3 linked regions of the Ovis aries genome follow. The protein of the gene in region 1 purifies or fractionates together with the protein of each later gene. This does not show direct contact. Links are inferred from orthologs where the notes say so. Each region holds a gene or a part of one and is shown in the gene's direction. Other genes may lie near its edges. The genes, in order: OTUD1, FLNC and AIFM1.

Evidence for each region.
Region 2: the proteins of OTUD1 (region 1) and FLNC purify together in Homo sapiens (affinity purification with mass spectrometry; 3 studies listed by BioGRID and IntAct, with this or other methods). This does not show direct contact. The link is inferred for Ovis aries from reciprocal best matches to the Homo sapiens genes OTUD1 and FLNC.
Region 3: the proteins of OTUD1 (region 1) and AIFM1 purify together in Homo sapiens (affinity purification with mass spectrometry; 3 studies listed by BioGRID, with this or other methods). This does not show direct contact. The link is inferred for Ovis aries from reciprocal best matches to the Homo sapiens genes OTUD1 and AIFM1.

What each region holds. Positions count from the first base shown.
Region 1 is NC_056066.1:23,756,976-23,760,725, forward strand, and holds the start of OTUD1 (OTU domain-containing protein 1), read left to right. Parts: upstream 1-1,543; 5' UTR 1,544-1,735; coding exon 1,736-3,184; 3' UTR 3,185-3,750. UniProt on the Homo sapiens protein: Deubiquitinating enzyme that specifically hydrolyzes 'Lys-63'-linked polyubiquitin to monoubiquitin.
Region 2 is NC_056057.1:94,501,482-94,505,131, forward strand, and holds part of FLNC (filamin-C), read left to right. Parts: intron 1-1,292; coding exon 1,293-1,390; intron 1,391-1,506; coding exon 1,507-1,657; intron 1,658-1,750; coding exon 1,751-1,869; intron 1,870-2,032; coding exon 2,033-2,110; intron 2,111-2,320; coding exon 2,321-2,483; intron 2,484-2,706; coding exon 2,707-2,907; intron 2,908-3,282; coding exon 3,283-3,348; intron 3,349-3,650.
Region 3 is NC_056080.1:113,994,128-113,996,717, reverse strand, and holds the end of AIFM1 (apoptosis-inducing factor 1, mitochondrial), read left to right. Parts: intron 1-1,128; coding exon 1,129-1,325; intron 1,326-1,686; coding exon 1,687-1,758; 3' UTR 1,759-1,957; downstream 1,958-2,590. UniProt on the Homo sapiens protein: Functions both as NADH oxidoreductase and as regulator of apoptosis.

The sequences.
Region 1 (3,750 bases):
CTACTCAAAGGCTAAAGGTAGAATAACAAATAATCTCCAAATCAGCGATGAAATTTAGGTAACTTCCTTTTTCTAGTTAGCCAGTGGGGTCTACAAGCTTACAGTGGGGTGTCACCAGAAGCTGAAAAGACGGTTAGACTTTTATGTGGTTGTTTTTCCTTCCAGTTGACCTACCTAACAGGTTCAAGTGACCTGGGCAAAGGCAGCTGGGATCCTGTCAGTCACACGCACGACGGCAAATTGAAGCTCTGGCTAGGGGTCAGGAGACCAGGATCGTAATTCTGCCTTTTCCACTGTTTTGGGAACTCCTCTTCCATTAATTAACTCATTCAATAAATATTAATTAGTTCCATCTATGTGCCAGCCTCTGTGCTGGGTTTGTAACTATAATAGCCATCAAGACTAAGTCTTTCCATTCAGGGAACCTAAGATTCACAAAACAATACGTGGAGTGGGGAGGCTTATACCATAACATAAGCTATTTCCTCATCACTGAAACAGTGAAACAGCTTTGTAGGTTCACTCTGAACATTTAGGGTCTGTCAGTTAGCATGTGATCAAAGCTGAGAATATAGCAAGAGCTGCCCACTGCTATACAGTCAGTATACAAGTTGATCATGACCATTTTAGCTTTCCTTTACAAACAGGGACATCTAACACAATAGGGTAGAACTATGTTCAAGATTCTATTCAATTTCAACATTCTCGCAATGCATCACGACCCTCTTTACCGCTGACCTACGGTGAACAGCTGCACCTATTTTCAAGAGGCCCGGTTAGGCATTTGGTATTTCACCCAAGACTTGTATTTGCTTATCAAATACGGGTTAGGACAGCAGAAAAGTTGGTTTCGGTTTAGCAGGGCGGCAAGGTGCTGGGGAGAAAGGGAGGCGTCACACTGCTACGTTAACAATATAATCTCAGGGTTGAGTGAAAAAGATGGCAGTGGTGCAATGACCATGCAGAGGCCATGCAGGTTTTAGGGCAGCTGTCCCCACGCAGAACTCGGAAGCTTGTTTTGAAACGCACTTTCAGCACTCTTGGCCGCCCCAAGCTGCCCCGAACCCTCTAAGATCCACCGCTAAAGCGTAGAAAAGCGCGGCGCCTAGAAACTAACACTGAGGTGGGGCAGCGGCCACGGCTGCACAGGCCTCCGCGCCCTCCCGCCCGCGCGCCCGTCGCCCGCGCTGCGGGCCACGCCCATGACGTCACCGAATGGGGCGGGGCGAGACGGAGGGGGTGGGGCGAGCCCCGGCGGTTGAATGGGACGCCGCGACGAGCCGCACATTCCAATAAGGGCACGTGACGCGGCAGCGCTGCCTGAGGTAAACAACCGTGGCCCCGCCTCCTGGCTCGTCCGCGCGCCCTGCAGAGCTGCTAGCCGGCGGGACGCGCTCCAGCAGGGCGGGCGGCTACCTCTGAGAGTCCTCAGCGGCCGCCGCGGGCCGGAGCAGCGACGGCGGGCGCACGCGTCCCGGGTCTGCGGGCCGCTAGCGCCGGCAGGGGTCGAGCGCGCGTCCCCTCCCCGCCCCCACCGCGCGCTGTGGCGCAGCAGGAATTTGGCGGGGACCCGGGCGCTATTTGCAGCTCCTGACGCGCCGGCGGCCCTTCGGTCATTTCTATTCTCAGGGCACTGGGTCACCGCGCTCGGCCGGCCCCCTCCCCCGGGCCCGGAGGGTGTGTCCCCTCACTAGGGCTCGGCGCGCCTATAAGGGGCCGAGCGGCGGGCAGGGACATGCAGCTCTACAGCAGCGTCTGCACCCACTACCCAGCCGGGGGCCCGGGTCCCACGGCCGCAACCGCCGCTCCGCCCGCCGCCGCCACTGCCGCCTCGTTCAAGGTCTCTCTGCAGCCCCCGGGACCCGCCGGTGGCGCCCCGGAGCCCGAGACCGGTGAGTGCCAGCCGGCCGCGGCCGCCGAGCCCCGCGAAGCCGCCGCCGCTCCCGCCGCCAAGATGCCCGCCTTCTCCTCCTGCTTCGAGATGGTGTCCGGGGCCGCCGCCCCCGCCTCGGCCGCCGCCGCCGCCGGGCCGCCCGGCGGGTCCTGCAAGCCGCCTCTGCCGCCGCACTACACGTCCACAGCGCAGATCACCGTGCGGGCCCTGGGCGCCGACCGGCTCCTGCTGCGCGGCCCCGAGCCCGGCGCCGCGGCTTCCGCCGCCCCACGCGGCCGCTGCCTCCTGCTGGCCCCGGCACCAGGCGCTCCGATCCCGCCGCGGCGGGGCTCCTCGGCCTGGCTTCTGGAGGAGCTGCTGAGGCCCGATGGCCCGGAGCCTGCCGGTCTGGACGCGACCCGCGAGGGGCCCGACAGAAACTTCCGACTGAGCGAGCACCGCCAGGCCCTGGCCGCCGCCAAGCACCGCGGCCCCGCGCCGCCCCCGGGAAGCCCGGAGCCCGGCCCTGGCCCGTGGGCCGAGGAGCGCCCGGCAGAGAGGAACCTCCGCGGCTGGGACAGAGCTGGCGACCGCGGCGACGCTCCCGGCGCCGAAGAGCCGGGGCGACCCGACCCGGAGGCCGAGGCGGCCCCGGCCCGGAGCGGCGAGGCGGCCCCGGGCGGCGCGACCGAGGCGGTGATCGTGTCCAGGTCGGATCCTAGGGACGAGAAGCTGGCCCTGTACCTGGCGGAGGTGGAGAGGCAGGACAAGTACCTGCGGCAGAGGAACAAGTACCGATTTCACATCATTCCCGACGGCAACTGCCTCTACCGGGCGGTAAGCAAGGCGGTGTACGGGGACCAGAGCCTGCACCGGGAGCTACGGGAACAGACGGTGCACTATATCGCCGACCATCTCGACCACTTTAGCCCCTTGATTGAGGGCGACGTGGGGGAGTTTATCATCGCTGCTGCCCAGGACGGGGCCTGGGCCGGGTACCCCGAACTGCTGGCCATGGGGCAGATGCTGAATGTGAATATCCATCTGACTACTGGAGGGAGGCTGGAGAGCCCCACGGTGTCTACCATGATTCACTATTTGGGCCCGGAGGATTCCCTAAGGCCTAGCATTTGGCTCAGTTGGCTCAGTAACGGACATTATGACGCGGTGTTTGATCACTCGTATCCGAACCCGGAGTATGACACTTGGTGCAGGCAGACTCAAGTGCAGAGAAAACGCGATGAAGAACTTGCGAAGTCCATGGCCATATCCCTGTCCAAAATGTATATTGAGCAAAATGCATGCTCTTGAAGTGTCTGAGACCCTCGGCCTGGGAAAATTGCATACCTAATTTGTGTTTGGAGAGTTATATGAACTTTAATCAGGGTAATTGCACTTTTAAACTTTCTAGTAGATTTACTGTAGGTGTAATGCCTTAATCATTTTTTTGAATGTTTTCTCCTCAGAGCTGAAGGTTGCTGGGCACCTAAATGATGTTTCATAGTAGCTTTGGGTGATCCTACTGCTATTTATGATTTGCTGTATAAAGTTGGCACTACTTAATTTGCAAGCTGATTTCTCAGTGTAAATTTGTTCATTCCTGGTAATCTATTTTCTATAAAAACGTATTTTTGCACAACATTTTTAACAATTGGTGTACCTTCATCTAGGATGTGATCCATTTTGACAAACAGCTTTCCGGCATAAATCCAGAGAAGTGCTTTATATGAAGTTTATTATTTTGAGCAGAGTTTGTGATTTCGTATTTTATGTTGTTGGATTTGAATTTTAGAGTTCTTAGATAATTATTTCAAATGGCTATTGATGCTTTCATGTTACCAGATAATTGGCCCATTCCGTTTTGATGACAGATTAGT
Region 2 (3,650 bases), on another chromosome or scaffold:
CTTATCTGTGGCAGAACTGAATCAGATGCCAGTGGGGACCTGGCGCTCCCTGCTTCATGAACTTCCTATTTTGCTACAGAAGGGTCATTTCTGCTCAGCCAGTAGAAAGAAAATGTGGTGGGACTTATAGAGAGAAGGCCAGAACTTTAGGCCTGGAGAAGGCTATTCTTTGCAAGCCCCTGGGATAGCTTTGAGAAGGGGTTGAGGCCCAGGATGATGTGGTCTGAGGCTGGTGGGATACTGCCCCAGTGCCAGGTGACCCAGGCCTGGCCTGGGCAGGCGGGGGCCACTAAGGGCCCATGAGAAGACTTAGACATCACAGATGAGAACAGTACCCCACGTATAGCTCTCTTTCTGACCCTCGTCTCACGAGATGATCTGTCGTCTCCCCACCTCTTGGAGCCATGTCCCCCTGGGGGAATCCTCCCCCAGCCTGGGGTCAGCTGGGGAGCAAGGGGTGGGAGGAGGGGGCACCGGCCTCCTGGGAAGCATTCCCAGCTGCTGAGCCATTGCCCACGGTTGGCTCGACTGCCAGCAGTGAGCTCAGCTGTTCTGGCCAGTCATGGATTCCAGCCTTTGAGCTGGTCCCCTCCCCGCCAGGGAGCATCACCCTCCTCCTCCAGCTCTGGCTGGGACCCAGCACCCCCTAACCCCTGCACCCTTTCCCAGGAGTGACCCCTGGCTGCCTCAGCAGTCCTCCCATCAGGAGGGCTGGGTTCTGGGCGGCCAAAAAGAACTCGGCCTCTCAAACAAGCTCTTCAGTCCCTTCATTTCCCCGAGGCGGAAGTTAGGAAGCAGAGAGAGCCTTATGCTCTACAGCTGATGTGGGAAGTGCATGGACACCTAGGGCTTCAGGGCAGCTGTGAGGAGACCTTTCAGGAGATGGGTCAAAGGCACTTGTGGGACGGGGACTGCCCACCTCTGAGGCTGCTGGAATGAGGCGGGGGGTCTGTGAGGGGTGCGCTCCCTGGAGTTTGGTGTTCAGGGTGGGTGCTGGGGCCTGGGCAGGCCGGAGGCCGGCTGGCAGGACTGGTGCCAGGCTGCGTCAGCTGGGGCAGAAAGGCTTCATTGTTGGTGATCGGGAGGGCTGCAGTGCGTCTAAACAGCAATGGGCATCCCAGCTAAAGGGCCGTAAGGTTGGGGGTCAGCAGGAACCCAGCTGGTCAGGGGCCTGGGGCCGTATGGGAAGGGAATGTGAACCCACGGCCTGGGAGGGTGTTGGTGGAGCAAGTGCTCTGCGTCCTGGCTGACCGCTGCCCCCTCATCACTGCTTCCCTCCACCATCTCTCTAGGCCTCTGCCCTGACTGGGAGGCCTGGGACCCCAACCAGCCTGTGGAGAACGCCCGGGAGGCCATGCAGCAGGCGGACGACTGGCTTGGGGTGCCCCAGGTAGGCGGAGAGCAAAGGGACTCGGAGAGGGCCAGGGGTGGGGTTGAGTCTGTGAAGCTACCTGGGCAGGATGCTGGGGACAGAGGACACTTTCTGACTCCCTTCCTCCCTGGCAGGTGATTGCTCCCGAGGAGATCGTGGACCCCAACGTGGATGAACATTCGGTCATGACCTACCTGTCCCAGTTCCCCAAGGCCAAACTCAAACCTGGCGCCCCTGTTCGCTCCAAGCAAGTGAACCCCAAGAAGGCCATCGCCTATGGGCCTGGTATGTGTTGAGCCCTGACGGTCTTTCCTGGGCAGCTGGACATGGCCTGGGATGGTTCTCCCTAAACTCCGTGGCTCTGCCTTCCACGCTCAGGGATCGAGCCCCAGGGTAACACCGTGCTGCAGCCTGCCCATTTCACCGTGCAGACAGTGGACGCTGGTATAGGCGAGGTTCTGGTCTACATCGAGGATCCTGAGGGCCACACTGAGGAGGTATGGAGAGGCCACTGGAGACCGGACAAGAGCACAGACCAACAGTGGAATGGGCTGGAGATCGCTGCTGGGGCACTGGAGAAGGGGGAGGCCTCACCATGGGGGTTGCAGAAGGCGTGGGGTCAGGAGGAGCTCTGACGGCCGATCGTTTCCCTTCCTGTAGGCCAAGGTGGTTCCCAACAATGACAAGAACCGCACCTACGCTGTCTCCTACGTGCCCAAGGTCGCCGGCTTGCACAAGGTATCCCTCTATAGGCTCTCCTGTGTCTTCCCTACTCCATTCACATCCTTGCATCTGGCTGAATTGGACCCCTCTCTCAGCTCACACCCCACCCCACCCTCATGCACCAGCCCCACCCGCCTCTCATCCTGCTTGGCTTTGCCCCGCCCCTCAACCCCCCTCTCAGAGCTGCTTTCTTCTAGAAGCTCACCTTTGGCCTCTGACCTCCAGGTGACCGTGCTCTTTGCTGGTCAGAACATCGAACGCAGCCCCTTTGAGGTGAACGTGGGCATGGCCCTGGGAGATGCTAACAAGGTGTCAGCCCGTGGTCCCGGCCTGGAACCCGTGGGCAATGTGGCCAACAAACCCACGTACTTTGACATCTACACTGCAGGTGGGGATTGGCCCTTCCACCAGACACCCCATGACTGTTCATGGTGGGGGACCTGGGGGCCAGGGGCAGGGCCTGGCCAGAGGGCCGTGGTCTCAGGGTGAGGGAGCCTGAGCAGGAGGGACACACCATGACTATTTTTTTGGGTGGGAGGGGGTGCCTGGGGGCCGTGGTCTCAGGGTGAGGGAACCCGAGCAGGAGGGGCTGACAGCCGTTGCCGTGACAGGGGCTGGCACAGGGGATGTTGCCGTGGTGATCGTGGACCCGCAGGGCCGGCGGGACACGGTGGAGGTGGCCCTGGAGGACAAGGGCGACAGCACGTTCCGCTGCACGTACAGGCCCGTGATGGAGGGCCCCCACACGGTGCACGTGGCCTTCGCCGGAGCCCCCATCACCCGCAGTCCTTTCCCCGTCCACGTGGCAGAAGGTAAAGGCCCTTCACCCACCCCCGTGACCCCCCTCGCCAAAGGCCAGGATGCAGAGTGTTGCCACCAAGTCTGAGGACTTACGGGAAATGAAGCACCGCAACCAGGGGGTGGGGTGGGTGGGGATGGGGTCAGGGGGAGCCTTCTGTAGGCTTAAAGTGGGCAGAAAGAAGAGCCCAGGGTGGGGCTCCTGAGAGCTCGTCTGTCCAGCCCCCGCCCCTGAGGACGGTCAGGTCACTGTGAAGGATACCAGACGGGCCACGGTGGAAGGGCCGAGGGGGAAGCGACCGGACCATGTGGGCGGAAGGGCATATTCACTGGAGCACCTTGCACCAGGCTCTCAGGCAGTGACTCCCCACTCTCTCTCCGCCACTCAGAGCCCCTGCCGCCGCCGCCCGCCCCCTCCGTGCCCATCGTCCACCAGGCCAAGAGAGTGGTGCCGCGTTAGTACACGCCAGCGGAGGCGGGCTGGGCATGGCCATAGCTGACTGGCCTCCCCTGTGCTGTGTGGCATGGCCCGAGCTGGGTGCAGTCGCCCCCCCTCCCGTGGCATTCTGTGACAGGCCCCAGGTTCCACGCCTTTGCCTCTGTTCTGTGGCAGCTCTCGTCTCTTGGGACTGGCCTGGTGATTTCTGTGAGAAGGGTCTGGGTTCTGTGGCAGTCCCCGGACACTGGGCCGTTTTGTCTGTGTTCCGGGGCAGGCCTGGATGGATGATACACTGTTGCCTGTCGGGTGGCGCCCCGT
Region 3 (2,590 bases), on another chromosome or scaffold:
TATATGGATATAAGGGTCTTGTTCATGTATAATCTAAGTGGATTACGTTATTACTCCTTAAATTGGACCTCTCCTGGGAAGTGGATCCCCGGAGGAGGACCCAGGGACTTATAAACTGCAGGTCACTGCTCTGTCCACTGGGCAGTATTACCTGAAGCCTGGTTCTCAGAAGACAAAGTACCCTCTCCCCAGGCTGCTGCTACCACCCCACCCAGGAGGAAACACTTGCACTACGGTTTTTCCCTTTGGAAGTGCCTTCTGCTTTGGCCAGAGTGTCTCTAGTGGTGCTAAGAGAACTTTTCTGCCATAGTGGCAGTGTTCTGTTTCTGTCTGAAACATTAGCCACTCAGTATGACTCTTCAGCACTTGAAATGTGGTTAGTGCAAACGTGCTACGTTGCTTCAGTCACATCCTAGGAATTTCCCAGGCCAGAATACTGGAGTGGATTGCCATTTCCCTCCTCCAGGGGATCTTCGAAACCCAGGGATCAAGTCCACATCTCTTATGACCCTGGCACTGGCAGGCGGGTTCTTTACCACTAGCGCCACCTGGGAAGCTCAAGAAGAAAGGCTTCCCTGACCGGGAATCAAACCCGAGCCTCAGTGGTGAGAGCAGCGAATCCTAACCACTAGACCACCAGGGGAGTGTTGGGTTTCACAAATGAACTGGTTTGGCAAATGAGGAACTGGATTTTACATTTTTTGTTCAATTTTAATGAAAATTAAACTTCAATTGTGAATTAATTTTAATTAGGATAACTATATGTTCCTAGTGGCTATTGTACTGACCGTAGCTCTAGGATGTTTCTCAGAGGACAAGAACAAGTCTTCTGTAATTTGAAAAAGATACCAGGAAATATCCGTAGAGTCAATTTAAAATGAGATAGAAAGTTTGGGGTCAGACTGACCCAGTGCCCAGCAGCTGGCAAGGAAGAGCTTTTGTTGGCTCTGTCAGTGGAGAGGAGCTGGAGAAGACCAGTGTTTACTGAGGCAGCATAGAAAAACAAATCGTCTAGAAGCAGCCTGAAGCAGGTGTTGAAAGATACTTGCCTTCTAGAATTTCCAAGCGCATAATAAGTGACTTTGTTTTACTTTGACTTTGCTTGTTTGTTTGGGGGGTTGGCCACAGGCACTGGTATCCGATCAGAGAGCGAGACAGAATCTGAGGCCTCGGACATCCCTGTTCCTCCCAGCAACCCTGCAGTCCCCCAGGTCCCCACCCAAGGGGAGGACTACGGCAAAGGTGTCATCTTCTACCTCAGGGACAAAGTGGTGGTGGGGATCGTGCTGTGGAACATCTTCAACCGGATGCCAATAGCACGGAAGGTAGGTACTGGCATAGCTCTGAGAGGAAGATAAGGGTGTGGGCGGAAGTCCCTCCTGTGACTTCATCAGCTGTCCTGCCATGCACTGTCCTCCCAGGTCAGATTGAGCCTGAGCAGAACAAGATGTCACCTTGGCTCAGAAATGTTTCTTTCTTTCTTTCTTTCTTTTTTTTTTTTTTTTTTTAAAAAAAGGATTGTTTCTTTTTCACTCAGGACACGGTTGGGTGGCCTGGGCATTAGCATGTCCTCACTTGGGCTTTGCAGAAAGCCCTTCCCACAACTCCCTCCTGGTATGGAGTGGGGGCTGGCCTGGCCTGCACACACACAGGGTGAGTTAGACTCCTTGTTCCTCTGTCCCTCAGATTATTAAGGACGGTGAGCAACATGAAGATCTCAATGAAGTAGCCAAGCTCTTCAACATTCATGAAGACTGAAGCGCTCACCATGGGTAGCAGGCAGGCCCTTGGCTGTCCCTGAGGACAGCTTAGATGAGTAAAGGAGCATTTTTTTTTTTTATTCAGCAGACTTTCTCTGAATGTATGGGTATGAATGATCAAGTCCTTTGTGAATATTTCAACCATGTAGGCAAATTCTTAATGTTCACATCATTAAATAAAACCTGATTCTTCTAAATTAAATTCTCTTCTCTTTGAAAGGGAGTGAGTGGGTGAAAGGAGGAAAGCTGTGCGAATGAGAGAGCAGGCCAGTTGGAGCCATTCCCAAATAGACCATCTTTCTCGGCCTCCTTCTCCCTGCTTCACACTCTCAGCTTCTTTCAGTTTCCTGAACTCCCTCGCCCTCCAGACTCTGTACAGACCTGCTATGGCCTCTTCCTGCAGAACTTGACCCCTCTCCCCTCCTCTGGGGAAAATCGCCGTCTCTGAAGACTTTCCTGATCCTCCCAAGCCTGTTCCTTGCTTACATGTCTCCCTGCTGCTCTGCAGCTCCCTGGAAGCCAGAACTCAGGCTTTCCTGTCTTCTCACGGTTCTCTCTCCAGAGCTGGGCACAGGGCTCATAGTAGGTGCTCAGCGAAACATTGAATGAGCACACACATAAACATGTGGACTCAACTCTGCTCTACCTGGGACACCTCCCCTGTGTACCCCCCAGCCCAGAACTGAATTGGTCGTGGGAGGGGAGGACAGAAAAGACATTTACTGCAAACGGAAACAGAGGTTCGGAGACTGGTGCTTCAGGGCTAAGCTTGGAGTCTGACTCATGGAGGGATCTTGGTCTCTTCAGCTCCTCCACTCACTGTCCCCCAA